3 linked regions of the Schizosaccharomyces pombe genome follow. The gene in region 1 interacts genetically with each later gene. Each region holds a gene or a part of one and is shown in the gene's direction. Other genes may lie near its edges.

Evidence for each region.
Region 2: of mis14 (region 1) and spc7, extra expression of one rescues a mutant of the other (dosage rescue), as found in Schizosaccharomyces pombe (one study listed by BioGRID).
Region 3: of mis14 (region 1) and scm3, extra expression of one impairs growth in a mutant of the other (dosage growth defect), as found in Schizosaccharomyces pombe (one study listed by BioGRID).

What each region holds. Positions count from the first base shown.
Region 1 is NC_003424.3:3,110,444-3,120,204, reverse strand, and holds mis14 (MIS12/MIND complex Mis14/Nsl1), read left to right. Parts: upstream 1-5,658; 5' UTR 5,659-5,792; coding exon 5,793-5,842; exon of another isoform or gene 5,843-5,928; coding exon 5,929-6,076; exon of another isoform or gene 6,077-6,205; coding exon 6,206-6,640; 3' UTR 6,641-6,753; downstream 6,754-9,761. Other genes in the region: protein Rng10, read left to right, coding at 1-826; structure-specific endonuclease subunit Slx4, read left to right, coding at 1,205-1,258, 1,343-2,548; glutathione S-transferase Gst3, read left to right, coding at 3,410-4,138; SPOM_SPAC688.03C (AMMECR1 family protein), read left to right, coding at 4,879-5,102, 5,232-5,589; cwh43 (glycosylceramide biosynthesis protein), read right to left, coding at 6,905-9,697. UniProt on the Schizosaccharomyces pombe protein: Acts as a component of the NMS (Ndc80-MIND-Spc7) super complex which has a role in kinetochore function during late meiotic prophase and throughout the mitotic cell cycle.
Region 2 is NC_003421.2:783,243-796,372, reverse strand, and holds spc7 (outer kinetochore KNL network protein, KNL-1 family member, blinkin, Spc7), read left to right. Parts: upstream 1-5,712; 5' UTR 5,713-5,758; coding exon 5,759-9,853; 3' UTR 9,854-10,084; downstream 10,085-13,130. Other genes in the region: P3-type proton ATPase Pma2, read right to left, coding at 162-3,194; mmt1 (mitochondrial iron ion transporter), read left to right, coding at 10,668-10,909, 11,129-11,541, 11,585-12,123; DNA-directed RNA polymerase subunit Rpb6, read right to left, coding at 12,626-12,779, 12,998-13,130. UniProt on the Schizosaccharomyces pombe protein: Acts as a component of the outer kinetochore KNL1 complex that serves as a docking point for spindle assembly checkpoint components and mediates microtubule-kinetochore interactions.
Region 3 is NC_003424.3:1,855,659-1,865,796, forward strand, and holds scm3 (CENP-A histone chaperone Scm3), read left to right. Parts: upstream 1-6,148; 5' UTR 6,149-6,275; coding exon 6,276-7,286; 3' UTR 7,287-7,474; downstream 7,475-10,138. Other genes in the region: SPOM_SPAP11E10.01 (ornithine cyclodeaminase family protein), read left to right, coding at 148-1,140; cell surface adhesion protein for conjugation Mam3, read right to left, coding at 1,235-4,483; mRNA export receptor Nxt1, read left to right, coding at 7,705-7,723, 7,776-8,104; protein dpc13, read left to right, coding at 8,314-8,702, 8,757-8,799; geranylgeranyltransferase type 1 alpha subunit Cwp1, read right to left, coding at 9,015-9,222, 9,274-9,950. UniProt on the Schizosaccharomyces pombe protein: Centromeric protein that plays a central role in the incorporation and maintenance of histone H3-like variant CENPA at centromeres.

The sequences.
Region 1 (9,761 bases):
AAAGGTCGAAGTGGTAGCTGCTCACGATGCAGTTTCAATATCCAGTAATTCCAGTACACATAAGTCTCACTCTGAACCATTAAATAGAGATGAGTTAGAAGTTGCTGCCTTAAGCCGTGGATCCTTGCCAGAACCTCCAAAACCCAACAAGCAAATAGTCGTTCAGGAAGAGGATCAACGAGACACACTATCTCTAAAGACAAGCACGACAGGTTTATCTTCTCATTCTAAAAGTGCTGAAAATAATTCAACTCAGCAGTCGACCACTTCTCCTAGCATTAACTCCGGTGCTTCAGCGGATGCTGTTTCTTCTGGAATTTCCAAAAAGGCTGATAATAGTGAAACTAATTTAAATTACTTTGCTACCTTAGATGCGTTTGTCAAGAGTCCATTGATGTCGTTCGATGGATTGGGTGAATTAGGTTCTACCGATCAACGTTACAACTTTTTCAATCAAAAGATTCAAGAATATTCAGCATACGATTCGGGCCTTGATAATTGGATTCAGTTTTGCTTAGAAAAAGATGGTGAGGCTCCAAAGGAAGCTCCTCCTCCTCCTCGTTCTGAGCCAGTTTCAACTACAACCAAACTTGCCAAAAGAATTACGCAGCCTTCGTTGAGTCCTGCAAGGTCAACTGTTACTATAACTCACAACATTGCTACTGAAGCAAAAAAGAAGTCTAAATCTGCTGCTAATGATATTTTACATTTGTTTAAGAAGAAAGCAAAAAGTGAACAATCAAACGCCAAGTCGTCATCTAGCTCTATCAAAGAATCCAAAAAGATGAAAACTCTTTTCGGAAAAAAATTGGGATTCAAATCATAAATCTTTTGCATACACTTTTTACCTAACTTTTTTCTCTCTTTTGTAATTTTCTAATTTATGTATTGTTTACGAAGCATTGCATTTCAATCAATAAGATTTTATCTAAATATTGTTTCATTTTCGTATTGCGCATTTTTGTGAAACCATTTAGTTATTTTTATCAGACGATGAGTTAAAATATCAAGCATATTCTGGTTTTGCTGCCACTTGTCTAAACCAAAATAAGAAACTGGACGAAAAACTTTCGACAAATTCAGGCTAGTACACAAAACAAAACAATCGAAATTAAATATTCATCATTTTTTGGGATATTCTTTCGTTTTCTTGGTGTTTTAGGATTCTGAGTACGCTGCTTTCAAGCTAAGTTTCATTAAATGGATGTCGGCTGAAGAATACATTGAGGTATCATCTTCTCCTGATATATTCACGGACGTATGAAAAAAATATGATATTCTATAGCAAATGATTAGAAATATTACATTGAACTGAAGTAAATGTATATTAACTGAGCTTTAGGATGATGACATGATAACAATAGAGCCAGAGCTAAACAAAAACCCTAAAGATTGTAATAGTAAACGAAAAAGATCTGTTACTGAATGTTGTGAAATTAGGCTGATAACTTCTAAATGTGATTTTGAGTCTACTCAACAGCTTGTGCATCACAATTGTACGGGACATAAGGTTCATGAGCACAACTTAAACGCTGTGGATGAAGAAGATTTTGATACTGAAAATCTCCCTCTTCTTTTTTCTTCCTTTAGCGACAATGAATCAGATATCTTAGAACCCGATCTTAACACTCGGGTAGCTGAAGATAATGATGTCCTTTTATCTAGATACAGCAAAATTAAAAATAGTGCTTCATGCAGAAATACTTTCGAGCACTCTGCATATCACTCAAATAGGGAAGAAATATCTTCTAGTGGTTTTTATTACCATAGGAAGCCTCAATTGTTCGAAAAATCTTTAGAGAAGTTAGGAAATAAATCAATTGAAGCCAACAGGAGTCCTCTTATAAAAGAACTTTGTGAATCGGCTAATTCTACTGAAAACGTTTGTTTTTCTGTTTCCACCGTTGATGAAATTCAGCAAAGGCATCCAAGCGCCGGTCATTCAATAGACTCAACTTGTCAGTCAAACTCGTTTCTTGAAGGCGATAGTGCTACACATAAGAAAAAAAAAACGGACAATATTAAAGAGTTTACTTCATGTGAATTTAATGACCGTAGCAGAACCCTGTTAAACTATGCCGGTTACATGGACACTAACAAAAACGCTGATAATGAAGCTAAATCATTAAAAGAAAAGTTGGAGAATTTTCCGGTTGAAAAATTACGTGCTATAGCGGAAAGTTATGGCTTCAAATCATCAGATTCGAAAGCAACTCTCATTAAGATAGTAGAATCTTGTTTGGATGCAATCGATAGCCGATCTCAGTCTAAAAAATTAGGCAAAGAAACTCCCCATGATTATTTGATAACTTCTACTAAAACAGTATTGGAGTTTGATGATATAGTGACACAGACTCATAGAGCAATTTCGCAAGTTGTTAAGCAAGCCAAAGACAATAGTGTGTGGATTAAAATTCTTACGTATTCTGCTATTGATGTGGAAGAATTTCAACTTTGGCTGAAGCGGAAAAATTTAAATGTTTCGCTAGATCTTATAAAGTCTTGGTGCGATAAGTATGGAGTACTCATGAAAGGGAGTTGGCATTAGCTAGCTAATCAGTGATTTTTGAGTGAAAATTGATGGTTTTTAAAGCAAAACAATATCATTTTTACAAAAAGATTTTGGATTTTTGAGCATCAAAATTAACAGCAAACAACCCAGCTTTAGATTTAAGTCAATTCAAGTCCTGTTTTAGATAAGAATCGTCCTTTGCAGCAGTGCTGAGGAAAAATCAAGATATCTTTTATGTGTTATAACGAGTAACATATATTATTGGAATCAAAAACTAATCATTATATCTTGCTTGGTCTTTGGAAACAGTTTGAACTGTTTGAGATAGCTTGTCTATGAACTATTTTGGAATATTCGGTATACAAATTTAGTACTATAACTTTTTTGTTAACACCACGTTTTACAAGGCAGTATACGTTGTTAACTATGAAAAAACCGTAACTCCAATTTATGTAAAATATGGCTTCTGTATTGTGATATTCAACCACTGAACTTCTTTTCATATGTCAGTCAGAATGCCAAGTAAATCCAACTGCTGCTCTTTTAGTATAAATGTACTGACTACAACAGTAAAATTGGTCTTTCATATAAATCTAGTACTGCACCTTTACAGCGGGCTCATGACGGACTAGTGATAGCAATTCAAATGAAGATGTTATTTCATTCCTATATCTACTGTATCTTTTTCTTAAGCAAACATAAAGTGTTTTGCGTATTTGTTGCATACGCCACTATATATTTCGGTGACTGACGTGCATATGAGGTGTAGACGCAGCAGCACCCATATATACATTCCAATTCCCACATACTTCCCTTCTTTGATCGAAATTATTGCATCTTAGAAAGTATTTATTTTGAGTATTCAATTTGATTTTGTTTTTATTTTTGTAACCAGATATGATTGTTTTACACCACTTAAAGAACTCTCGCTCTACTCGAATTGTATGGATGCTCGAAGAACTCAAAGTGCCTTATGAAATCAAAGTTTATGACCGTGTCGACGGACGTGCTCCCCCAGCGTATACTAAGTTGTCACCATTAGGCAAGAGTCCTATCGTTGTCGATGACGGTGTCACTTACATTGAAAGTGCAGCCATTTTGGAGCACCTGGTCAGAAAGTATGGACCGTCATTTAAACCCTCAGAAGAGGATGTTGCCGAATTGGAAAAATATGAATTATGGATGCACTTTTCTGAAGCATCTCTTATGCCATTTATTTGGGCAAGTCATGTTTTGGATCTTAGTGTGAACATGACTCCCATTTTCTTTCGTTATATTGTTCGCCAGTTTGTGAATGGGATAAAATCCAAGTATCTAAGTAAAGAAACATTTTTGAACCTTGACTACATTGATAATCACCTCGCATCGAACGAATACTTTGCAGGCGAACAGTTCACCGCTGCGGACCCGCAGATGTGCTTTCCTATATTTGCTGCTCAAAGAGATTACCTATCTCAGAAACCTTACAAAAATATTAAGCGTTGGATGCGGGTTGTCAGTGATAGGCCTGCATGTCGAATTGCTGCTGAAAAAGTTGAAGACAATACGTTGACTTTGTTTTCTGATGTGGAAAGGTACTCCCATCCCCCTACCCCTCCTCCCGAGCAAGTTCGCTCTGATGAATAAGATTTCTGCCGTGGCTCTTTTTTTCTTAAGCAAGTCGGCTTGAGACATACAAGGCTTCAGCAAGCTTACTTTTTTATTCTGCTTGTACGGAACTTATGCTGTTAATGTAGATAATGATTTGTACAATAACTAGGATATTGTGGTAACTACATAAAAATTTTTGCGACACCCCTTTTGAAATGATTTTCCGATGCAAGAAACAAGGCTTCGGTGCTTAAACGCTTGGACTTTTCTCTCTTTATCTGTCTCCCTCTCTATACATATATATATATATTATATACGCGTATACATCTAGTTTTGTGAATGGGAACATGTTACTGTTATTTAGTCTGAAAAAGAAGTTATGGTTACAAATCTTGTTTTTGATTTAATGTTAATTTATATATGACTACTTTTGAATTCAATAAGTTTTGCTGCTGTTGCATGAATTGTTTAACTAGGTAGTGAAAACTTAGAAGAGTATTTATTTTGTAAAGAATGCTTTAGTGTACAGTTAAACAAGTTCTCCATTTTCTTTCACTTTATGACAGAAGACATAAACAGGGCCCTACTAACTAACTTTTTTTAACATGAAACATGAAACAGTATAATGAACTTGGACGTTATCGTAATCACTTACAACGTATGATTTGTTGGCCATCCTTAAACAAAGAAAGTTGGAATGATGTATGAATAAAATACCATGGCTTACAAATTGTACCGAAAGCGTCCGTAGGCAATTGCTACTACCACTAATATAAATGGACAAGAAAGAGTATTGTTATTATTGCTTTGAAGTAGTTGCTGCAACTTTAGAGCATCGAAAGGTCCGAGACAAGTGGAATGCAAAGAGTTGGACCCGTAGTATCCCTCTGTTCGTAAAGTTTGCATCTGGAAAAGGCCATGATAAACAACTACGAGGTTGCATTGGAACTTTCCGGGCACGTCCTTTAGTTACAAATTTAACATATTTCAGTAAACAAGCGTAAGTGTGTCTAAAAATGGTTCATAGTTCGTTGTAGGCGTCAATGATAAATCATAGACCTTCGTATGAAATTGCCGATGAAATTGAAAAGAAGAGTAACCGAATGCTAATACAACATTTTAAAAATAGTGCATTTTGTGATGAACGTTTTCGTCCTATCTCCTTGGGAGAATTGGCTCTTTTAGAGTGCCAGATAGACTTGTTAGTCGACTTTGAACCGATAGATGATCCATTAGATTGGGAAGTTGGCATACATGGCGTGTCTATTAAATTTACGGCAAATGGAATTCGTTATTCTTCGACTTATCTACCTTCTGTAGCGGCTGAACAACGTTGGGATCAAGAGGAAACCCTAGAAAGCTTGATACATAAAGCAGGCTACTATGGATCAATACGTTCTTTACAAATAACTGCTACTCGCTATAAGTCCTTGGAAATCGGGTGTACTTATGAAGAATATCTTCATAATTTGGAGCTTCTGGGATAACCTGATCTATATACAATGGTTCTTTTCTATCTATTTACATAGCGTAATTAAGCTATCGCTTAAGTTTTCAGCCAGTACTATCACATCCAAATTCTTTTCAGACTAATGATTTCTATCTCTCAGCTAAAAATTTAACTTTCTCTTAATATATTCTAATCTATTAATCATATATTCTTAAAGAAAAACATTTCTTTCTAGCATTCATGTCGTCTCACGGAGATGCTAGCGTTTTACCAAAAATTGCATTGGAAAGGTGTGTTTCATAATCCCATGTAGTTTAGAGCTTTTATTTATGCTTTTAATTTGAAATTAGAAAATCTGATTTTAACACTTTATAAGTATCAACGATTACAGTTACGTAAAATCGGTGTTTCGTCAAGCCATACAAGAAAAACTTGCTATTCATTTACCAGAACAAGCTTCACGGGAAGCTGGAATGGGTCGTGAAGACCAATTGCGAATTCGAGTCAAAGAAATGTTAAACGAGGTGAGTATACAGTACACGCTTCTAATCAGCCATAAAGTCGAAATTCCATAGCAGCTTCGATTAAAAAAAATATATATATATATAAAGTAAAATGAGAGACCTCTTCAATTACTAATGCTTAACATATAGCTGATTGAATCCACTTTCTCAATAATACAAGAAAACGTTACAATCAATGGCTTTGATGCAAATTCAGCCTTGCAAGATCCAAAAAATTCCGACCAAATTGAGCCATTTGATCTGGCTCTTCGTACTCGAGTCCAACAATTATTCAATGAAGTAGAAGATGCTCATGTCCTAGTGGCTCGATACCGAAAGTCTGTACCAGCACAATATGAAAAGGCATATGTTGATGCGATGGAGCAACAGACCGCATTTTTAAGAAACGTGAAAGATGACTATGTTTCTCTCCAAGATAAAGAAGTAGAAAACCCGGATGAACAAACTTCGACAACTGTGTTTAGAAAAGAGGACATCGACCGATACGAGCAGACTATTGCTAAAGTAGCATATTTAAAGAAAAATCTCCCTAGAGTAGTTGCCCGATTGGAAAAAACTCCTTAATCATTAATAATTTTAATATACGGGTAAACTAATATTAATTTAGTGCTATTTCATCTCAACTTATACTTCATTCCAACTGCTCACCAGAAACAAACCGGTTGATTCATAATGTACTAATCTTAACAAATCTTATTAATCAGTGCATAACTGCAGACAACATATTAAATAGTTTATCAAATTCGTATAATGCTTATATTGATTCTAATTATATCAGTCTTTTTCTTTTCAAAACCATGGAAATTTAAATGAATCAAATTTGTGATTTTAATCATAGTACCACGGCTCGTGAACAACTAAATTATTGTCATAGTAATGTCCATTAACACCCGTTCCTTCAAATAATGATGGATACCTGTGTGATTCAGGAACGTGTTCCTTGTCGATTCTGACGTTCCTACCTAAATCTTTGGTAACCAAAAACTTTCCGGTTTGAAGCTCGGTGTCTGTTATAGTAGAGCGATGAAGTCTAGCATAACCAATTCGCTTGACACCTCGATAAAATATATACTGACACCAACGATCATAGTCAGCAGGTTCAATGTCTAACATTCCCGTGTCTCGCGTTAGAATAGTTTGGGGTTCTTGGCCAACGTTTGAAACAACATATCCGAGAAACACTAGAGGCCTTGGACTCTCGCGCATAATTCGAGCCAACTCAGTGCTCTGAAGACGTCGATCCAACTGACTTTCATATTGACCATTGTGAGAAACCACAACATCTATTAGCTCTCCGTAGACATCTAGTGTTGCATGAATAGCAGGAGCAAGTTCTCCTTGAGGAGAAGGTAACAAATGGTGAGTCGAGTTGACAATAGGAAATTTGGAGAGTAACGCAGCGCCCCAAGTATGTTTATCAGGGCCTGGGCCATAATCCGCATACATTCCTAGATCATGTGCTAAAACCTGGGTTAAATCTCGAAATCCCATAATTAAACGTTGTGTGTCAGATTCCAGTAGACCAAAGACATCAAGTTCCATATCTCGAACAGCATCGCGTATACGATTCTCACTTGCATACATGAAATTGTCTAAGCCAAAGTGAATAGTCCAAATACCAGCAGTGAAAAGCTTTTCATTTGGATGGTAAGGTGTATAGTCATACGGAGGCATATTCTGAATGGCAAATTTTAGGGCCATAAGAGCCAGACAAAAACCTGTCAATAGTGATTTTTTGAAACTTCTTCTACGATAAGAAGAATCTGATTGTTTGATATCTACTACAGATGAGTCTGCTTTGTTGGGTTCTTTGGACTCACCCGAATACGCAGGTACTAAAGCTGCAAGGTTCCAACCAATGAAAATTAGAATGTAAGAAGTTCTCTCTCGAAGAATGGGTCCACCTGGAACAAACTCGTAGGCTACGACCCAAACATGAGCTAATGAGTAAAGGATGTAAACCAAAAAAGCGCCACCCCAAACCTTCGCAGGAGAATAGAAGGAGGAAATTCTGATAGAAGCGAACGAGTAAATTAAAACGTAGGAAGTAAATATTAACCCACCCAAATAACTACACCATCCATGGTTAATATACATAAAATATGATCCGAAGCAGGCTAAAACAAATCCAATAAGCATAAAAGCACCTGATTGATATAAATAAGGGGCTACCAAAACAGCGCAAATGGAAACAACTATTGAAACGGCACCGTGTGGATAAGGTTGCGGTCCCTTAATAGGATACCCATCCCACGACCATGTCATAAGAACTGTAGAGTCACAAAGAAAAGTATGCAGACAAAAAAGTACTGTGCCCAAGCTTAGGGCTGCAGACAGAGCAGTTATCTTCCTTAGTTTAAAATGTTCCACGGCATTCGCTGTTGTTTGCTGCACATGGAAAATGGCAAATATTAGACATGCAATTATTCCGACAATTAACGCTGGGATTTGTTTTCCACCGTTTGTTTCATTTAAAATAGGCCATATAGGATTGTTAGAAAAAAAAGAGTACTTGGCGATTGAAGACGCAAGCAATCCAAACAAAAATGTGCTAATTTTACGTTCTATTGCTAAATTTTCAGGCGAAATATTTGAAAATAAAGAAGTCCAGGCGAGACATTCACAACAGACAGAAAACGCAGTAACAAATAATCTGTGCACCGGGTCCTCAAGCTTATAGGCAGCTATACCTATAACATTTAAAAATAAAAATATAACAGGTACTTTTGAGGCAAATTTTCGCAATAGTGGAATACCAAGTAAGAATGGAGAAAGTTCGAAAAGAATGCACGCTTCATAGCCCGAAATCCCCATATGCCATAAGGGAAAATACCATACTAATAACCCTAAGCTAGTAAGAACGCTCCAGAAGACAAAAGAAAGATACACCTCAGATGAAAAGTATAGCAAGCTAAACAAGATTTGCTTTTTGGAACACTTGACGTTACTATCTTTTTTGATATTCTTTGCTTGCGTGCCAACAGCTGCAGCCTCTGCATAAGACAAATGTTCTCCTTTCTCCTTCTTGCGTGTAGCAAAAGAAGATGGATTAGAGTAGGTTTTTGATGTATGCAGATTAAACACGAGTGGTTTAAAATCCCAGTACAACGCAGAATCAAAAAGTATGTCCCACAATATCAATGACCATTCAAAGAATGCATAAACAGTATAGGCACCAGGAATATGTTTAAACTTGTGCTGAATATACCAGTAAATTAAGGGAAATATAGTCAAAACGAACAATGCTGATCCAATATTTCTAATACGTGAAGCCATGGAATTAACTGGTGAACATTTTGAAACCAAAATAAACCAAGGAGCGTTAGAAATTAAATATCCAATCATGAAAATATCATGCCAATCATGGTCATCAGTCGAAGTTACATAAACCCATCCACCACAGAGAGCAGTTCGTAAAACACCCAACGCTGTAGTAATAATTACTGATGGTCTTGAAATTCCGCTTAATGTAAACCAAAGCAACAGAACAAGAAGACGAGGTGTTGCTGTTAGAGCAATAAGCCACTGGAATACCGACCTTTCTGGATACCAATCACCAATAGTAGCAGAGACCGAAGGAAACCATTCTTCAGGATATCCATAAAATTCGTTCTTCACCACCTGCAAATATAATGTTAGTAAATTGTAAACTTTGCGAATGTCACGTCTGTCTTGTGGCTCAGTG
Region 2 (13,130 bases), on another chromosome or scaffold:
ATGATGCTTTTACCCTACAATACCTAGTAATGACTTTCAGTATACACCTATTTAACCTTTTTTATCTTTTCGTGGATTATAATTGATCTTATTAAACAAAAAAGTGATAATATGAATAAAAATTGGTAACATAACGAATATGTTGAAATGGTTTTCTAAATTTAACTAGTGACTTTACCTTCGGCCTCGTGATGAGTTGAGGTACGTTGCAACTGCATAACAAAGTCTTCCAACTTTCTGGTAGTGCCACGTTCCTTATGTTTTCCGTGCATCCATCTGTCAAATGAAGAGGATTCTGAAAGTATATAATAAACTCCTGCTATAAGGCAGAAGATTCCAAAAGAATACATCCAAATGCGAATAACAGCGACAATGGACGTTTGATGGCCTCCTTTAAACCATCCAAAAATACAGAATAAGGTAGCTAAGATATCCACCACCAATACTGCACCGCTTAACTGCCATGATGGGAAGGAAGACCAGAAAGGACCGCTACATCGGGTTATGAAAATTAACCAATTTTCGGTCAAAGAAATTTGAAGGAACAAAACTTCATCTTGGACACCAAAATTCTGAACGATACCACGATTTTGACCTTGGGCAATCATTGTGGTGTTCACAATCCAAGTTCCAATAGCCAGCAAAATACCTACTATAGTAGCAAGTCCCCAGAGTCTTGGCAAATTCCATTTCACTGGTTTCATTGCATAAGGAGCATTGTCATAGGCAATTGCCAGGGTGGCTACATCGGCGAAAATAGCAATAAAAACGATTAGCTCCAAATTTAATAATTGATTACGAATAATTAGCCAGAGACCTAAGAAGATTTCGAGATGAAGAGATAATGCAATACGATATACAACGTATGCATACATGCGGTGGAAAATTTGACGAGATGTTTTTAGTGCATCAATAATAGCCGACAAACCGGGGGCTAAGAAAACAATATCGGCTGCAGAACGGGCTGCATCAGATGCGCCTTCTACAGCAATACCGGCATCTGCTTTCTTTAATGATGGAGCATCATTAACACCGTCACCTGTCATTGCTACCAGATAACCTCTTTGTTGCAAAATATCAACGACTGCATATTTGTGTTGAGGAAACACTTCTGCAAATCCATCAGCAGCTTCTACAAAGTCATTGACTTCCGAACCTGGCATATCACCACCTCCACTTAAACCTAAGCGTTCAGCATTATAGACGTTTGTACCCATACCAAGTTGACGAGCTGTCTCTTTGGCAATACCAACCGCATCACCAGTAAGCATTTTAATACGTAAACCTAAACCGATGGCTTCATGAATAGTTCGAGCCGTATCATGACGGGGTGGATCTGAGCACGGCATAATACCTAATATTTCCCATTGCTTTCCATCGGCTTTTCTCGCAACACCTAATGAACGAAAACCACGTGAAGCCATGTCATTGACTTGTTCCCTGTACGCATCTGTAATGGCTTCGGGCACCTCGTGATCGTCTTGTACAGTTTTAAAGACCCATAAAGGGGCGCCCTTCACACAGGTTATCCTTTGACCGTCAGGGGCCTCAACATATGCTGTAATTTTCTTAGAAACAGGGTCAAATGGATGAAAGTCGAGAACTTTATATTTTGACAATTGGTCCTTTGCTTTTGGGTAATTTCTTAGCGCTTTAAGGAATGCTTTGTCAATGGCGTCTAACCCTTTCTTTTTTCTCGAAGAAGCCAGACATGCGGTAAGCATAAGATCATCGGGTGAGACGCCTTCAACGCAGTAAGGTTCTCCAAGCGATAACCTGTTTTTCGTTAATGTACCAGTTTTGTCAGAGCAGAGGATTTCAACTCCAGCGAGTGATTCAATAGCTGACAGCTTTTGTACAATGGCTTTCTTCTTAGCCAGGTAGGCTGCGCCAACTGCCATAGTTGTGGTAACAACAGCAGGAAGACCGACTGGGACGCCGATGATGGTAATAGCCAGAGTGTATTCTAACAGAGCAGCTAAACGAACAGAACGATAAAATGCAGCTGTATAAATGCATAAAAGGGTGAGGATAACCAAAACCAAAAGAATTGTACCTATGCCATTCAAAACTTCGGTAAAGTGGCCCTGGCTTTGACCAGCTGCCCCGACTAAAGAAGCTGCTCGTCCTACGAAAGTTGAATCGGCTGTTGCTGTTACTACCATAAAAGCTTCTCCACGTTTCACCGTTGAAGATGAGTACATGGTATCATTTTGGTGTTTATCCACTGCCAAAGATTCACCGGTGATTGCGGATTGATCCACTTGGAGAAAACAATCCTTTGTAATAAGGCGACCATCAGCTGGGCATATAGTTCCTTCATCAAGATGCAAAATATCACCTGGAACAATTTCGCTGGCCTCAATTTCTTTCACTCTACCGTCGCGAAGAACGCTTGCCTTTAACGCCATTGTTTTCTTTAGTTCATCAACAATGGATCCTGCTTGATATTCTTGAACAAAGCCGACCGTTGCATTCAACAACAGAAGAGCGCAGATCACACCGAAATCAACCCAATCACGGAGACCTGCTGCTAATGCAGCAGCTAGCTCCATTACAAATTGAATTGGACCCACAAAAAATGAAAGGAATTTTTTAATATTATTTGTCTTTTCTTCTTTCATTTGATTAAGACCGTATTTCTTTTTCCTCTCTTCGACTTCAGATTCTGTGAGACCGTATTTGGGATCTGTCTCAAGGAGCTCTTCGGGGACTACTTTAGCAGCTCCAGCAGGTCCAGGAGATTCCTCCTCTTCTACTTGTTCTTCTTCTTGATCTTGAGAATACAAGTCTTCAATTAGGGCATCAATATCTTCGTCTTCATCTTCATTATCACTGCCTTCGCCGGTTTGAGGACGGGCAGGCTTTTCATGGGAAGCAGATAGCGATGGAGATGTAGTAGCCTCCTGTCCTCGGGAGGTACTTTGAGTTTCATGGGTAATTGATGTGTTACCACTTTGCAAATTCGCTTGCTGAGCATGAGTGTTAGGTGCGGCAGTTAAACGTGGAGCTGCGTTTCCTGAAGCGTTATCATAATCGACGGCGGAGTCTTCCACTCCCCCTTCCTCATAAACTTCTGTCCTTGTGGTTGAATCATCTTGAGGAGAAGCATTATTCTTGAAAGGATTGCCGTGTAAAAAGCGGCTAATTCTATGCATACCCTCAGGTCGCCCTTCGCCGTTATTTCGTTGCATATTAGTCAAAGGTTATTAAAACGACTATGCGCAAAAGATTGGTGAGGATGAAAAGGTAAAAGAACTGGAATTGGCTCTATTGTTGTGTATAAAAGACTGACAAAATTTGTTTGAATTGGATGACAATTAGTAAGTCGCCAGCCGTTACGAAGGACTCCTTTTTATAGTAAAAGCTTCAAAAAATCATGCGGGGAACAATTGTAAGCCTCTTATTGCGGTTTGGTTAGCTCACAGCTTATATTCGTCTCCTATGCGTATTATTGACTTCATTTCTCCCTTGGTTTGCTTTTTGACCTAATATAGGCGTGGTTGCAGACTCATTTAGTAATAATACCATCTTATAGGTCAGTCTCGTAACAATGCTTTCATTATTGTGTAAAAATTACCGGTCGATTACCTGAATTTGCAATTGTCTTTTATATTTACTAGGAGCTTCATTGTACCCGGAGATAAATATTATTGAATACTGCGTGGTTTTATTTTTTTATTTTTATAAATTTACAATTTTATTATTAAGCGGATCGTTACATAAAATATTTAATGGGTGTGATTTCTGTATTTGTTTATGTTTGGATACATTAAGTCCACTTGTTTAGAGAATATTTATGATGGAGCACTCATAGAAAACTTCGTGATTCTTGGGATTTCATTATTTAGTGTTGTAACGAAGAAATACTTGTCTTATTGTGTGTTTTTTTCTTTTTTTTTTGGCACAATTTTGGCTAATCCTTGCAATTTGAAGCATTAGTTTGGCCCCTTTTAAGTAAAGTTAGTATGCTAAATGAATTGTGGAATAATCTATATTTTTGCAATTGTTAAAGGACAAGCCTGGACTGCTGTATAGACAATACTTTTTCTATTTTTATCAAATCTTCCTCAGAGAAGATGTCTGACGCCCTTTTTATCATGTCACACACATTATGCTAAGTAAAGGATTCTAGTGAAATACAGTAGTTATGCAACTATTAATAAGTCATTATTAAATTGAAACATGTTATGTCGTTTGAAACTGGATAACATTACGATACCGGAGATTTGTGACCATTTATATCGTAACATTGACTAAATCCAAATGGGAGAATGATATTGGGCTAACCAAGTCTGCTCGTATTTGAAGGCTTATACCAAATGCAACGAATAGAATATCATACCATACTACGGGATACACGGGATTTACAAATATCCAATTGTAAGAATTGTCAATTTCCCGGATTTAAAAAAAAAAAAAGAATGTTAGTATTGATGACAAAAGCCTTACTTGTTTGAAATACTGAACAATTATCATTCGTTTATACAACGCTATCCTTCCTGTGCCGAATATAAACATTTTACGTCCTTTTGTATTTCCATTCTTCAAAGAAATCCTAATCGTGGTATATGATTTATCATTCTAATAAAAAATATTAAGACAAGCGAGCTCAGCCATACTTGTTTTTTTTTTACTCATTTAAATGTTGTACAAATGCTAGTTATGTTACTAAGCTTTACTGTGATTTGAAAGCATTAGTGTTGTTAATAACACATATGGATTATAGTACATAATATATCAATTTCAGGTCTTAGCAACGCAATCGTAATCTGACTTAAAAGGATTTATAATTTCTATTTGTGATCAATATATCATCGTAAAAGGAAAAGTACACGAATTAATGTCTGGTCAATTTCACTATGGCTAAGTATAACCATGGAAATGAACAGGAAATAGTTCAGAATGAGCTAGCTTATATTTGCTTAGCCGGTAACCTTTTATAACCACTTTTGAATAGTAAACAATGATGGAACAGGTTACGAGAACCTCAATGGAAAGTAGAACATAGAATTACATGTGGTTGTAAGTTCATGGCAATATCCATCAAATTATAGAAATACTAACAATAAACAGTTTTTTTCTCGATTATTGATTATAAGCCGCTGGAATGATATTAAATAAACACACTCCTTTAAAGGAATATTCACGAGTATTATTATAATATACAATTTGCGAAATAATAATTTATAACAACCTCGCTACAATTTACTTATACTTCTTACAACCGCACATTGCTTTCAAGTTAATCCATTAAATTATGCCAAAAGAACAGTGCGGCTCATTTGACAAAACATTCAAGTGAATCTTAGATATCTATACCTTTTTGAAGTTTGTATTCCTCCATCACAGTGCGCATATGCTTGTGATGCTCATTACCTTATTGTTTACAGAAAACCCAATATTACAAATAGACCCAGTTGAACAAAAGTACCCCCAATTTACCTTTACTTTATACAATTTGTTAATGATAAGAATGAACAACAGTCATATTGTTCATTGGAACTTTTACAAATAGGATCTTTATTCATTATTTATTCAGATTAGCTAACAGGAATGATTACAGAAAGCATCATCGTAGTCTACCGTATCCTAAAAAGGCTTACAGACTCCTTAAATAATACAACGAAAGGCGTTCTAGGCCGCAAAAAGAAACTCACCGCCATAAATTTAACGAACTATCATTACAATTTCTTATGTTCGTCTTAATCTAAAAACAACAAAGTTCGTGTGTCGACGTGCTTTGTTTAACTTGACGATGCCAACATCGCCTCGTCGCAATAGTATAGCGACGACCGATAATGTTATAGGAAGAAACAAAAGTAGGAAGCGTCCACACTCGCTTGGAGGACCTGGTGCGCTTCAAGAACTTAAAGAACACACAAATCCAGCAAAAGGCATTCTAAAGAGTTATTCATCCTTTTCCGTAGATCCCGCTTTCACAGGAGATGAAGACTTTAATGATATACACACACAAATAAATAACACGGTCATTGGAATCTCTAGTAATGTTATGGCTGCGTCAAAGAGACTTCAAATGGAAGACCTACAGCAATTGTCGCGTGAGACGTCTAGAAAAAGTTTGAACAGAAGAGTTTCCTTTGCTAGTCATGCACGTGTACGTTGGTATCCTAAAGATCACCAGAGTGACTCGGAAAAGTCGACATCTAATCACAGCACACCTGAGCGAACTTTTGCATCTGATGCTAAAAACCATTCCCCTAAAGGTCCAACAACGACAAGTTTTTCGAGAAACGAAACACAATCATCTCCCCATAGTCATAGTGCCTCGATTATTTCAGACGGTAGTGATATGGACATTGCGTCCCCTATTCGGTCAACCGAATCAGATATGGTCTCTGAGGCATTGAATGCTGGCCATCCGCCTCCTTCTCTGTATCCGGAGAATGATGATTTAAGTATCCAGAATCCAACAAAAGCCTTACCTGAAGCAGAAAAGGCACTTGATGTTCACGATGCCACGAGAGAGCAGGTTAATGATAGAGAGGAAACTAACATGGATTTGACTATCCAATTCCAAGAAGCAGATTCGTTTTTATCACATTCCGAATCAATTAAAGGTCTTAGCTCTAGCGAGCAAGGTACTGTTTATAGTTTAAAAGCTTCTCATGACCCTTCAAACCAAACTCAACTTTCATCCCCTAACAAATCATCTAGTCCAACTAGTATTGAAATTTCGGATTTCTCCAAAAATAACGAAAATCACGATCAGTCGGAAAATAAAGAAGAAGAAGAAGATATGATGCTAACTCGACCTATTGAAATTCCGCAACACTTTTCCCCCATCGCTCGCCCTTTAACTTCCCAAGAAGCTATTGTTGACATGGATATTACCTCTAATAACATTAATTTATCTCCAGTGTCTCATTTTTCCAATGGCTTAGATTTACAAAACTTAGAAGAAGCGCCTATGAACCTTACCCGACCAATTAATGCTAATCCTCACTTAACTAATCATTCTCCGAACGATTTAACTAATGGAGAAGAAGAAATGGATACCACCTCCGCCTTTAATATCGAAAACTCACATTTAACTCTCCTTTCCCCCATTCGTCCATCGTCACGATCCATGGAAGAGCAAATAATGGACTTGACACAACCCATTAGCTCTACAAATGCACCCACCCATTTGAATGAAGATGATTTAAATCAATTTACCTCAAATATATCCTCTTCTTCAAAACCGAGAAAGGATAATAACAAGACTGCCAATTCTTCAAAGCCCATTCCCGACAGTGAGGACTTTATGGACATTACTAGACCTTTCAATATATTATCCCCTTCTAAAGAAGCACTTTCCGAAGAGCAACCAATGGAATTAACCTCAACAGTTTTTCCTTGTGAGAATTCTACATCTCATCTTGAGGTGGAAGAAGCTGCTATGGACGAAACAGTGGCTTTTCAAATCCGTGGAAACAATGTTGAGTTACCTTCAGCAGACAAGGAAAATGCCGAGAGAGAAGAAATACCCTCATATAGTGATAAGTCAGAAAATTTCAATACTACCTCCTTTACCAACCATGAACGGTCACCAAATGGGAACAATAATCTAAAATTTTCGAAAGATCCTAACTCTTCTTCTCCAAGTAGACATGTGGTAGCGACTCCTACTGATAAGCTTGGTACTCGGAAAAGACGCTTAAGATATAGCACTTCAAGTTTTGATCAAAGTACCTTGCGTCGCAATCGTCTTGCAACAATCCGTAATGCTCGAAAATCAATTTCAACTTTGAATGACAGAGAACTTCTACCGGTTAACTTTTTCGAAAAAAAAGTAAATTCTGGTCTCTATAAATCGGTTGAGCGATCCGAAAATTATCGTCTAGGAGCTACTCCACTTACCGCAGAGAAGCCATTCACCACAGAAAAGCCGCTTTCAAGTCTTCCTGAAGAAGTTTCAAGGCAACCCACTGATGACAAAGGCGAACAAGTGTCTAATGCAGATGTTGATTCTGGATTGAGTAAAACAGAGCGACTAACAATTCAACAGACTAACGAAATTAAGCACGTTCCAACTAATACGACTTCTTCTGTTAAGCTTCCTCAACAACCTTCGAATGAGGATGAAAAAGAGCGTATAACAACTGCAGATTACGCCGATTCAACTAGTTTGGAGCGATTGGAATCTCAGGAACCCAACCGGAATGAACTTGTTCAAGTTGGTTCGTCAAATGCAGGTAATACAACTTCCGTGGGCATGAATGAACATGAGAAGTCACCCGTCAAATTATCAAAAGGTGTGAGCAATGTTGATACATCGTTGGGCGCTTCGACTATTAACACGAACATTTTGAATCAAGACTCTGGTCCAAATGAAGAAATACCTGTTGGTAATGAGCCAGAATTTGATACGATGCCAACTCTACCAAACGTCGAGCCGATAAGCCTATCAGATTTTCTTAAAATGACCGGAATTGAATTTTTGGATAATCTTACTATTGCTAAAAGACGAGAAACCCTATTGCCAAATGCTGAAGAAAATAAGAAATGCAGTATCCAAGAACTTTTGGAATCTTTTTACATACAATTCCCTTTGTTAGAGTTATACAAATTTAGTTGTCAGCAATTACAGGATTATATTGCCGAAGGGAAGGATTTTGTTACTAAAATTGAAGAGGAAACTTTGAAAGAGAACCCGTTACTATTCTATGAGTATAGGAAAGCATCCAGTGATATGAGGGTTTTAATGGATTCACAATTTTTAATGATGAAAACTTTTGCTAGACTTCAAGCAAAAGGTGATTGGTACGAATGGCGTGAGGGTTTGATGCAAGGAATCAAACATGAATTAAATTTAAATTTAACTGGGATGCAAAGAAGCTTGACCCATTTAATGGATGTCGCGAATGTTATTCATCCGTATGCGCAGGAAATTCAAGAGAGATACAATGGTAGTATTACTACAGTACAGACATTAAAGAAGCAGAAGGAATTTGCAAATCAGTATGACTCAACTCTTCTAGCGCAGGCGCAAGAAAAGTTAGAGAAACTCAAGGTTGAGGTTGAGAGGAGACGTCGGCTTCTGAGTGAAAAAGAAGAAAGAAGAAAGGAGTTGGCAATAAAGATAGAACAAGTGACAAACTCTTGCTCTGATTTGGAATTACGTACCAACGCTGAACAAGATTTTTATGCGAAAAACCAAGATTTTGAATTTGACGAAATTAAGCGATACGAGGAGCAGTTGTTAAATCTTAAAAATGAACTTGGCTGGACCATAGTTTCTTTGACCGCGGGCGGAATTAAATTAGCTACAAATAACACTGCTCTTTCTCCTTATTCAGCCGAGGTTACGGTTGAGATTTTGAGGCAAAATTTCCAAGTTAACGTTGATATTGCCTGTAAGTTCCCTAACGAAAGTAATGCTTGCAGCTCAAATGTGCTCGAGCATGTTGCATCGTCGTTTTCTAAATGGCATTCCAAGGTATTTTCTAGGAACTTACGTCTTCTGAAGAAGTATCTTAACGATGTTTCAATTTGTTGGGAACAAATTGTTTATCTTGTCCAAGATTTCCAGCGATTATGGTACCATTGGCCCTTTTTGTCAGTTGAAAATGATGATAAGTCTATTATCATAAATGTTGAGCTATACCTGCGTTCGGTATCATCTAAGGTAAAGGTTGTTTTCGGTCTCCCAATTGATACTATCTACCAAACTACTGAAGTAGGAAAGTTTTATGCTTCTACATCAGTCGCTGTGAAACAGATGTATGCGGAAAGTGAAGGAGACTCTTATGTTAGTGAGGTTTTGAATACTCTTTCGGAAGTGGTGCATTGTACATCAACTTATGCCCTTTCGTCTGCTTGTCTTACTGTTTGGAACAAATACAGCTAGATATTAATGGGAATGATTAGCTATGCTGCGCCGAAGCGACTTCCTTTCCCAATATTCATTTTGTGCTTAACGCTTGGAAATATCATTTATCCTTGTTGTATACTAGTTCATTCGTTTTCGTTAATTCACATGTTACTAAAGAAAATGTATATATTTTATGCTATTTAATATTGGTGAAATAATAATGGTAGATCTTGACTGATAATGAAATTATAAATCTTTTTGTTAAACCCGTAATGCGCTACAAAATAAAGTGTTTAGTTAATATATAAATAAACTATCCATAATTAAAAGATTCTCGGATGTGCAAATCTGGTGTAGTAAAGTTTCACATTGATCTGATAAGTACGGGATCGACATCTTACGTTCTCCTAGATACATATATACACAATCGATAGAAGAGACCGATCCTAAACAAAACAAAGATCTTAACTAATTTAAGAGAATTGGACGGATATTTAGATTTTTATAATTGAAAGTCAGACGCTGCTTACAAAATTATGAGTTTGCAAGCTCAAATTTTGCAGAATTGAAATAGGAGGTTTTTTAGATTTTTAGGCTTCGCTCGGATTATTAAGTTATCCATTTTTTATTTTTGAACACAGTTTAATTAAGTAAGTCAAAGTTCCTGAACCTCGTCTGCAATTTCTGATAAAAATATTAATACACTTAAAAATAGATTGCATCCGCAATCGAAAGTTCACAGACAGCCGGTTGAGCCCTAATTTCCAGGTTTTCTACATATTTACTTCTTTAGAAGTTTTGTTTTATATATAGATATCCCTTTTCTTGAATTAACAGTACAAAACTCACTATGCTGAAAACGTTCAATTCGTCAGCGCGCTCATGTCGAGCGATGCCGCGTTTTCTACCGACATTGTGCAGCAGATTGCACGAGAAATCTGGCTTTGAAATTCGGAATGCTGTAAGAATGCATAGTGTTGGCTCTCACACTCATACCCATGACCATGGATCGGACAAAGAAATGTTAGAGCTTGTTAAAGCTTTGAAAAAAGAAGGGAAATCTCCAGAGCTGAAACTTGCGTGGTTAGGATTGTAAGTATGGAAAAGAAAAAAAGAAAGTCATCTTTTCTTATCAATTCGGAGCATAGCGGCAACAAAGGAACTGTAGCCCTAAAGTTAGCTAAATAACTCATGATATTTAATGAGACCATTTTTAAACTGGTACTCTCTTATGCTTTCGTTCTACGACAGATCTTTTGACAATTTCTTCCCTTTATTATAGATATTCTTGACTATTAACACTTTTTATAGATACAGCAATATAGGCTTAGCAGCCGCCAAAGGTATCGGCGGAGTTGCTCTACAATCTAGCATTCTTGTCGCCGATGCTGCTCATCAATTAGGAGATACACTTTCGGACTTGGTAACATTGGCTACCTTGAAAATATGTAGCAAGAAGCCCACACAAAAGTACCCTGCCGGTTTTGGCAAATGGGAAACCATAGGTACATTCACCGTATCTGGTTTATTGGTGGCTGTATCTGTAGGCATTGCTCATTCATCGTTATCGAGATTGTATACTATACTATTCCCATACGCTGGTTCAGAACACACGCACATTGGTCATTCTCATAATCCTTCTCAACTATTGTTTGAACACCCCTTTATGGCACTTGGCCTTATATTTGGTAGTGTTGTTCTTAAAGAATGGCTCTTCCGAAAAAGTAAGTAATTTCACCTATTATTGGATTCTAATAGTATATTTAGCGAGAACGGTGGCTCAAAAAACAGATTCAAATATCTTACTAGCCAATGCCTGGCATCATAGAGCAGATGCATTGACGGGAATGGTTTCACTGCTTGCTTTATCCGGCACTTACTTTCTTAATGCTCCATGGCTAGATCCGTTTTTTGGTTGTTTAGTAAGTATTGTCGTTTTTAGTGCCGGCTTCAACTCTTCTAAAAAGGCCTTCTTGCAGCTTTTGGACCGAGCACCTTCCGAAGAGTTACGTATCGCAGTAACTGATGCTTTATTGAAGGGAGAAAAGCTTCCATATAAAATCGTTACTATATTAGGAAATGCACATGCCATGCATGTGATAATATCTGTTCCTCCATCCTTCACATCTCAACAGTCGTCCGAATTGGCACAAAAGGTAGAAAAGACTGTTTTGGATGCTATCCCTGCCCTTTCCAGTTGTATCGTGACACCACTTTCCTCTGACTCTAATCAGGTTCATAGATGGCAACACTTAAATGGGTCTTCTGGTGAACATTCGCATCCATCTCATGAGCACACTCATTAGATATTATACCTTGTAAATTTCGCAATCCATGCTTTGAAACTGATAGTAATAGAACATTTGAACATATCTGAATGATAGGTGTGTAGTAAGCAATTTTGAGTTTTCTGTGCTCTAGAATTTTTTTCAGATTAACAGTTGTACAAAAAACTCCGTGATCAATGAGTTTACATTTACACAGCTACTAAAACTATCGGAAAAAGTTATTATTAAATGCATTCATTGAAGAACGAGAGCTAAAATGCCCCAAAAAATTTTTTGACACAAGAAAAGAAGATTTCTAGAATAGTAGCACAAGCCTTTTTTTTCTCCCGAGGATAAATACGTCCCTATTTCTAAATCGTAAATTAATGGTATAGAGCTAAAAATTTAGTCCTTTTGCTTTTATTTTCTTTTCTTTACCATAGCCAAACGGCTTCGCTCACGTAAAACAAAAGAATTAGGAAAAGAACGAGGTGAATCGAACGAGCGATAGAACGTATTTGAAATTGGAACACTTCTTAAATTAAATGAGCTCCGCTACACTCCAGTCTTCATAACTGCCATCGGGTAAATATCGCCGGACTAGTAGAGGAATCTTTTTTTGTGCAAGCTCCTTCATGGCAATTTGCAAAGGATCAGTTTCACCTTCCAAATCAACTAAAACAGGTGCGTTCATACTAAAATAAAGAGTTAGAAATTAAAAGAAAGCTCAATTGAAAAGAAACAAAATTCATCATAATCAGACAATCCTAACTAGAAAATAAAAAAAAAATTTTTAACTATATCGTTTTTTTTTAAACTCCATGACTGCAAAACAGCATAACGATTCAGGACTTAAGCAATTACGCTAGTGCCTTTGTACGACGCTTTATTGTAAATCCACGCATCTACTCACCTAATTTGAAGTGCTCGAGTTCCCAAAATACGAGCGCGTTCATACTTTGTCATATAAGGAGTAGTGGTTCGGTCTTCCTTTGCTACCGCTTTACCAGATTGAGCTGTTTTTGAGCTAGCAACATCTTCAGTAA
Region 3 (10,138 bases), 1.3 Mb from region 1:
ATTTAATACTGGTGATCGTTAATAGTTTTGCTTAAAAAAGTGTTCTTTTGCTAACATATTTCTTTTTGGAATTTATAAAGATCAAGTTGTATAACTTTACCCAACGTTTTTATTTAGAAGATAAATTGAAAAAAAAAATAAATAATTATGTCGGGTTCCTGTCAATTTCTTTCGAGAGAAACACTTAGCTCATCGTTGGGTTGGATTCCTCTTATAAATGCCTTACGAGAAATATTTACTGAGAATGTCGTCTGTCCGACGAGATTACATTACCCAATTGATGAAGATAATCCTAGCAGTACTGCGAACAACATCCTTTTGATTATGCCTTGTTGGATTCCGGGAAAATTTCTCGGTGTAAAACAAGTAAACGTATTCCCTGAAAATACCAAACACGGTCTTCCGAGCCTTTCCAGTCACTATCTATTGAGTGATGCTACAACAGGTTGCCATCTTGCTCAGCTTGATGGAAATGAACTTACTTCACGACGAACAGCTGCTGCCTCTGCACTAGCTTCTTCTTACTTATCCAAGGAAGATTCAACTTCACTTCTTATAATAGGATCAGGCAAGGTAGCAGAGAAGCTAATTCACGCACATTGTTCTGTAAGACCAATCCGCAGTGTACGAATTTGGAACCATCGCTTTGAATCAGCAAAATCTTTGGCAAGCCGAGCCTCAAAAGAACTCCCGTCTATTCAGATAGATGCTGTTCCTATACAAAACTTAGAGAATGCTGTTAAATGCAGTGACATAATATCCTCAGCTACATTGAGCAAAAAGCCAATAATTGTAGGTTCATGGATTAACCCTGGCACACATATTGACCTTGTTGGAGGGTTCACACCGCATATGCACGAAGCAGATTCAAAATGTATACAAATATCTAATGTTTTTGTAGATACGAGGAAAGGTGCTTTGCATGAAGCCGGTGATCTGCTAACTCCAATTAAAGAAGGATTGTTCTCTCCAAATGAAGTAATAGCCGATCTTTTTGATCTATGCAACAATAAACATAGCGGACGCTCACAACTGAAAAATCCTGCTGAAGCGATTACATTGTTTAAATCTGTTGGTGATTCGAGGGAAGATCTTGCAGCTGCTTCCTTGGCTTACAAAGTACACAATAAATCAAGCTAATCGCTGTGATAAAGCGATAAATTAACAATAAAGATTTAAGAAAATAACACGATTTTAATTAATATGTAAAATAAATATAAAACATTAACTTTATCTAAGAAACATCAACTACAGAATGGTGAGGTGTTCCAATTACAATGGTTTCTGTGATTGAACCAGTGTATGAACTGGTATATCCACTAAAGCCATCAAACGTTGTTGTAGTTGTAGTAGTAGCGTGTTGTTGGGGAATATCAACGAGAACCGTTCCAGCAGTGGTTCCAATGGGAGTAGCAATGGTTGTGGTGAATCCGACAGATCCAGATGTAACAGTTTCAGTTACCCAAGATGGTGTAGGAATATCGACTAGGACAGTTCCAGCAGTGGTTCCAACGGGGGTAGCAATGGTTGTGGTGAACCCAACAGATCCAGATGTAACAGTTTCAGTTACCCAAGATGGTGTAGGAATATCAACGAGAACCGTTCCAGCAGTGGTTCCAATGGGAGTAGCAATGGTTGTGGTGAATCCGACAGATCCAGATGTAACAGTTTCAGTTACCCAAGATGGTGTAGGAATATCGACTAGGACAGTTCCAGCAGTGGTTCCAACGGGGGTAGCAATGGTTGTGGTGAACCCAACAGATCCAGATGTAACAGTTTCAGTTACCCAAGATGGTGTAGGAATATCAACGAGAACCGTTCCAGCAGTGGATCCAATGGGAGTAGCAATGGTTGTGGTGAATCCAACAGATCCAGATGTAACAGTTTCAGTTACCCAGGATGGTGTTGGGACGTCTACAACTACTGTCCCGGCAGTGGTTCCAACGGGAGTAGCAATAGTGGTAGTGAATCCAACAGATCCAGATGTGACGGTTTCAGTTACCCAAGATGGTGTAGGAATATCGACTAGGACAGTTCCAGCAGTGGTTCCAACGGGGGTAGCAATGGTTGTGGTGAACCCAACAGATCCAGATGTAACAGTTTCAGTTACCCAAGATGGTGTAGGAATATCAACGAGAACCGTTCCAGCAGTGGATCCAATGGGAGTAGCAATGGTTGTGGTGAATCCAACAGATCCAGATGTAACAGTTTCAGTTACCCAGGATGGTGTAGGGACGTCTACAAGTACGGTACCAGCAGTGGATCCAATGGGAGTAGCAATAGTGGTAGTGAATCCAATAGATCCAGATGTAACGGTTTCAGTTACCCAAGATGGTGTAGGAATATCGACTAGGACAGTTCCAGCAGTGGTTCCAATGGGAGTAGCAATGGTTGTGGTGAACCCAACAGATCCAGATGTAACGGTTTCAGTTATCCAGGATGGTGTAGGGACGTCAACAAGTACGGTACCAGGTACACTACCAGACTGCGTAGCTAACGTAGTGGTAAATCCAACGGAACCAGAAGTAGTATATTCTGTAGTTGTTTGACCAACAAATTCGGAAGACTTATTTGAGCTTATTTGCTGACTAGTTAAGGTGGAGATTAAGGAAGCTAAAGAAGTAGAAGAAATTTCGCTAGTGACATTGCTGCAAACAGTAATTAAACTACTAGAATAATCTGTGCTGCTAGAAGGGATTAGACTTGAAGTGTAAGAAGTATTGGAAGGAGTGATTGAATGCGTTAGCGCAGGTGTTGAAGTACTAGTCGCTGTAAGTGATGAAGATATAATCGGACTAGAAATTATCAGACTTGAAGAAGTCTGCAAAGAAACCGATGAGTTTGAAGTAGGTATCGTAGTCGATGGAGTGCTCAATGATGATTTAGCATTCGTTAAGCTTAAGGAAGAAGAAGCAGAGGTAAAGTTTTCTGTGCTCAACTGAGAAGAGCTAAGACTTGAAAACTTAGTGAAAGAAGTAGAGCTTGTAACAAGAGATGAATTTACAGGGGGAATAACAACTAATGAACTAGAGGTTGAAAAAGCTTCGGAAGAAGTATAGTTTTCTGCAGATGTAGGGGTAACGCTATACACAATGGAAGATTTAATCGAACTCGAAGGAATGAAGGTATTGTTTGTATAGCTTATAGAATTTGAAGGTGAAGGAGTGATGGTTGTCAGGAATGTGTGAGAGTCATAAGTGGTTGTTAAAATTGTTTCAGTGAGAGTCGTAACATAAGTGAGGGTTTCAACCTGAGAACCGTGAGTGGTTGTTTGAACAAATGAAGTAGTAACTATTTGATGATCACCTGATTTTATTGAACCAGAATTTGTTAAAATAGAACTGGTTGGAGAACTCACCGATGGCGAAATAACTGATGATGAGATTGGTGAGGCTGAAGTCAATTGATCAGTAGACGAAGAGCTAGTAGAGCGTACGGTGGAGAAGGATTGGGTTAGTAGTGAAAGGAGGGAACTAGGAAAGCTACTTTCACCAATAGTAACCAAAGATGAACTTGAAGAAGGCAAATTTGTAGTTTCAGAGCTGGAAGTTACAGAGTTGATTAACGTGTAGGTGATAACACTAGAATCACTTGTAGCGGTTACAGTAGTAAACACACTATCAGTAAGAGTGGAAGATGTTTCCACTAAATAGCTGGACGAGCTTGAAGCTGGAGAAGACAAAGTGGAGGGTGTTGCGGGGATATCAGTAGAAAAGGAAACAGTAGCTTCTGAAGTACTAACAGGAAGTGTACTCGAAGCAGTAGTTGAAGCTGCAATGTCTACGGATGAAGAAGTATATGCCGATTCGGTAGAAGTGATACTTACAGAAGTAAGTGTTTCCGAACTGCTAACAGCAGGGGAATTAACAGATGTAGTCAAAATCACTGTATTTGTGGATGAAGATGAGTCACTGGGTTCACTGGAAACATAACTAACAGAACTAGCTACTTTCGATGAAACGCTAGCTGATGGAGAAAATACGGGTGTTGATGAAGGGCTCATGGATAATGTGGAAATTTGAGAGCTAACAGCCGTACCAGTAGGTGAGTTGATAACAGATGAACTAGTACTAGAAGAAATGTCTACTGTAGAAGTGAAAGCTTGACCACAAGACAACGTAACATATTCTGTAACAGTTTGAACTCTGTCAACGTATTCCGTAACGGTGGAAGTAGGATTGGAAGAAGCTGCATTATTAGAATTGCCAACAGAGTCAATTAAGTCTTGAATGGAGGAGTTGGAAGACCCGATAACACCAATTATAGTAATGTACTTGGCATCTAAGGTACTTAGAATCTCAGAAGCAGAGGTTGAGTTATAGATATTGCCAACTTCGAGAGGGCTTGATTGGCAAGATTCTAAATTAGAAGATGAAATTAAACCTACTGACCGACTGACGTTAAAAGTGTCATCAAGTGCAGATGGGGATGCCCAGGAAAATCCTAGCAAAACGAGAATAAAGAAAGCCAAAGCAATCGACATGACGAATTATGGGAAGATCAAGCGATAAAAGAAAAATTATAATTAATAATGTTTTTCAAAGAAGAAGAAAAGAAAGTATTAAAAAGAAGCAAGACTCAAATCAAAAGATAGATAAAAAATTGAGAAATGCGATGCAATGCAATGAGAAGTTATTTCAAAATTCTACTAGTCTGAAAAAAACTAAAAAATGAAAAAGCAAAAGAGTGTCAAAAGGTAATGAGGAATAAGTAGACGAGCGAATGGCAAAATCAGAGAGGTTTCAAAAAAATCGAGTTAAGTGATCAAAATTCCTTGCTGAACCTATTTGTCAATTGCAATACTAGTACTAAAACAAAGTCTTCGTCGTTCCCTTCTTTTTTTTCTGATTGCAGTTTCTTATTCAGCTTGCTTTACGAAACCTTCAAATGTAATGACAAATATGGAGCTCTATGCGGTTTTTTATACTTAGGATCCATGGTGAAGGAATACAAAGAAATTCGAGTATTTGAACTATACAATGCTCAAACAATGGTGTAGTGTTTTAAAGAAAGTGCAATTATGGAGTAGTTGAAAGAGTTGCGCTGTACTCAACTTCCTTTGTTTCATCGGCATGCTGTGCTATTCAGGTAACGGGTACGTTTATTGTTGGAGGGGAATGAGTAATTCCTATTGTCATATTCCATATGGTGTAGTAATTCTTTTCATGTGAATGCTTCGGTAAAGAAATTGTTCAAAACAAGCATACCGTAAGAAACTGAAACATGAAACGACTCGGTTTTGCTTCAAGTTATAGAAGACTGTGTTCATGAGACTAAGTCACAAAGAGCCAAAAATAGTTTATTTTACAATACGTTCCCTATCGTGTCCAAATTGTTCTGTCGTTTTGTTTAACATTTCTATTGTTCTCGCTATTGTCTGTTTCACTTGGCACTTAGTAAGAATGCAAACAATGCCGAGATCAATTCATCCTTTGTTCTAATTATTTAGCGATGATTTCTCCAATTCTATGTTGTAATGGAATTGATAATAGTTACTAGTTGGTACAATAGACACTTTCTAAAAGAATTCTATTGAGGAGCTGCGCTACGTATCCTCATATTTACATGAATGAACAATCAAAATATGGCTAAACTTGTCGAACAGAACGCTTTCAACTAATACGAATTATTTGTGAAAGAAAGCCAAAGAATCGTCACGCTTCTTTGGGGCGATGTGACAAATGGAATGCTCAACTTATGGGATTTTTTTATTAAATTGTGCAAATGATGCAAAGTAATATTCACCAAAACGAGTATCCTTATTTTCTTTATTTTAGGTATCGTTGATTTCTCATTTTATCATTAAAAAAGTAATGTGGAATTGCTATGTTCGTTGGAATCCACAAGGTATCGCAGCGTTCGTTATTATTACAAAATTGTATGTCTATTAATTTTATGTATTTTAGAAATTCTTAAACAGTATAGAATTAGTGCAAGAACAGATAAATCAGTCTTTTGGAGCAATGAGTTAATTTACAAGCGTTAAGCGACCATCATTGAAATTACACTTTTGCATAAACTATTCAAAAGAACTTTTCATTATCTTTTTTTTTTGATCTCTAAGTTCTAACAGAAATTAAATCTAAAAGTCATTCGTGAATTAGTTACGAAACTCTAATACAAGTCTACAGTTATGGCACCGTTCACTAATAAACCACTACTGAAATCGCTTTCCTACTAATAACTGAAAATCTCCAATTTTTGCCTTAAGAAATTTATTGGAAAGGATTTTTTGAACAAAATTTCTCAATACCAAATGATTTTAACTTTCAATCATGTGCAATCGTCAACCGAAAGCCGTTGACCTGCCTCCAAACTATTCTTGTCCACATCTGTTGTCTTTTCAGTCTGTCGAATTTAATACTAATCCTACGGCTTGTGATGATGTGTTTTGTAAAAGAATTGAGTCCGAAAAGAAGTACAACGACTTTTTGGAATCTCTTTTCAAAAAATATGGACGCGACACTTCTGATATAGCTGATGAAGTAGATCTTGCAACTGGTGAAATTATTGTTAATAATGGACATCTAGAAGCTTTAAAAACAAAAGATGATATATGGGATCCTACATTTAACAACCTTGAAATCTCAGCGTCAAATGGATACGAAAAAAAATTAGACTCAAGCATTGGCAACCCAGGGGAAAAAGCTGTTTCACCAGTCCATATAGAGGATTTTCAGTCTCCCCAGATCTATAAATTTAAAAATCTATCACTTCGTGATGAAATGGTGTCAGATTGTGTGTTTGCAGATGAAGTTCCTTTAGCTTCACTTTTTGTGGAAAATGTTTGTAATGAAACTATACCCTCTCAGTCATGCGTGAGACTAAAAATCAATGATAAAACAAGAAAAGTTGATGCTTCAGCTTTGGAAAAAAAATCTTGTCTGTTGCCAAACTCATCAGGAACATTAACAGATCAGCGTGGTTTGGATACAATCAAGCATAAAAGCATAGAACAAAATGAGATTTTGCACGTCATCTCTGATACTTTATCTTCACCGAGAAGAAGGAACCCTTTATTATCATCTCCTAAAACTCCTTTACGTAGATCTTTTTCTAAGTCAAAAGTCCGAAACTCCAATTCTACAAAACGAAGAAACTTTATTTCATTAATTTCAATGATATCCCCTCGACCTAATCTTTCTACCCATCATTTTAATCTTGGTTTTCAACCTTTAAGTCAACAAACTTCGTTCTCAGGAAGTAGCACTCAGAACCCTCATTCTTCCAGCACTTGTAAAAAAGCATTTTGTTTCCAATGCATTTCTGAGTCAAAAAAATGTTGATTCAGCTTTAAACCACTTATTCTCCCATCTTCTTCGCTTGCCATACCATGGCTTTTAATGACCTATTTCTTCGAACATATATTTATTTTTTGTTTTCATTTACAACAAATTGTCTTTCGAGTTATCATGTTACATTCGAATATATATTTTTTTACTAATATATTAATCATTCGTTGAGTTTTTACGTGATCTATGCTTTTGTAGTATGGCAAATGAGTACACATAATTGTTCTCCACTCTTCATGTTATAAGTAAAAATCGTAGTCATAAAGATATCTAGCCGAAATATCCATTCAGTGTGTTGAACAAAGATTATCTTTAAATATCGCTTAATGAGTACAATATTTCAATTTATAACACATGTACCTGTTTAAATGACTACTTACACCACTACAAATTTCTGTCATTGTGAATCATTATGGAGTCGAGTGTAAAATGTATGTTAAATGCCGCATTACTAAAGCTTTATCTATAAACTAACAATTAAAGATGCGCAGGAGTTCGTCCAACGGTATTACTCATCTCTTGATACGAACAGAAATGGGATCGCAGAATTTTACAGAGAAAATAGTTTGATCTTATGGAATGGAAAACCCATGCAAGTAACCGAATTTACCTCTATGATAGTTAATCTTCCATACTCCAAAACTAAAGTTGAGGATTTCGATAGTCAACAGGTCATGGGTAATGATATGAATATCATAATTGTTGTTTCAGGAACAATACGTTTCGATGGAAAAAAACCTCATGTATTTTCGTATGTCAGTTTTTATTGTATTTACCTTCTTGTACTAAGATCCTCTACTAACTTCCTTTAAGAGACAATATAGTTCTACAACAGGAAGAATCAAAGTATTATATTGCCAGTCAAAATTTTAGAATTATGAGTGAATAATACGTATCCAAAACAAAGATTTCATTTCGTTTAGAGTTTGTATTAATTTGCCGCAGCAAGCTTATCTGAGCGACACATTCCCTAATCCCTCATACTTCTTTAGAACACAAAATTAACCACCACCTTACAAATATGAAATATTGGAAGTATTTGTCTCAGCTGACTATCAGAAGGCCTCTTACATACAACAATGCTCTTCTGTATAGGAATAGGTTTCCTAGTATATTAACATGGAAGAGAAGTGCGACTACGCAACCTGACGACACTATTTTCAAGGATCCAGTAATGGATGAGCAAGTCCAGAAACTTGAAGAGAAAATGAGTTCATTAGTTGTTAATGATCCGGAACTTGCTCAAAAGGTTGGCCGTCTTCGTCAGTTTTTTGAGAAATACGGCCTTGAAGCTGGTTCAAAACCGTCACCTCTTACTATCCTAAAGATTACTCGTGATCCGGAATTCAAGCAGTTAGCTGAAACTATCACGGAGATATTTAAAAAATCTGGAATTCAAAATGATCCTGCGTATGTTTTTTTGAATGTATTCCATTGATTGTGCGAACACTAACATATCTATAGATTTTTGGAACTTGTTCGAAGAAACCTTAAGAAAGAAAAGTAAAAATATGCCTCTGACATTTTTTTTATTCTTTGTTTGGCCTAATAACCATTACTTGTTCACTATTATGTGAAACTTACAATTGGAGGAATGACTAATGTTATTGATTTCATAAACGATTCACTATACATCACAACTACTTTCTTAATTAGTAGGAATTTTAAACAAGATGCTTTATCAAAATATCAGTAAACCCAATTAGCATTCAAAGCATAGATTTAAGGATTGCTCCTTTGGGACATCCATGTCCATAAAGCGGCATGCGGTACGTCAACCTCATTTGCTAGTTTTTGATAAATCTCTTCAGACGACGAAGGCTCGTACATAGCTAAAAACTCTAAGAGTGGCTTGTGTAAAGCAGGCAAATTTTTTCGGAGATTAGCTATGAGATTATCAAGTTTTGAAGGTCCTGATTTGTCAAGTACACTGTAAAAAAGTTAATGAAGAATGTAATTAATGGAAATGAGAGATACTTACCCACACAAATAATTCCAAGCACTCTGATTGTCAGGAGCAAAAAGGATTTTGTCTTTCAGATAATTCAGTTCCTCTTCCAAAGACCAAGAAACCACCTTGGAGGTTTCAAACAAAACATAAAATCTATGATTCCAAGCCGAATTGTTATAAATGTCTTTTTCCAATAATTCGTTGGTTAACTTCAGCTCTTGAGAATAATCATTAAAATTTTGCAAGATCCAAACTCGGTAGGACCAGACATGATAATTTTTACTGTCAATTTCAAACATCTTTTTCGTAAACTCAAGTTCACGCTCATAATTCTTAGTCAAAGAAAGTATTTTTTGCCTATGATGCCAAACCTGGTAGTTTTTTTGAAAATCTTCGGCAATTTCATCGAGCCATTCTAATTCATTGTCTATGTAACTGGGCGTGTGGTTTAGGATTTGAAATCTATAAGCCCATACTGTATAATGAGCTGGATTATTCATAATCAAGAAACCTGTTAAATTAAGTGCTCTCAAGGAGTACTCCTTTTTAGCCATAATGGCACGAAAATAAGCCATTCCTTGTTCATATCCTGTCGTGTAGCAAATTTTCGCTAATGGGTTTTCGCCATCATCCTGAGGAATGGGTGTTAATGGTCCATATTCTGTAAAATCCAAAATTTCATTTAACTCGGGATCAATGGGATCCATTTCATTAATTTGGCATCCGTTGTACAATTCTCAACTCAAAGAAACAAATACTTAAAGGCCGAAAATTTAATTATAAGTGTTTTATTAAAAAGGATTGTCAGGTTTTTCTAAATTATCAACTCGAAAAACAATGAGTCTCTTTGTTTAGTGCGTACTATTGTTCAGGTGTGATGGTGGGTTAACTAAGG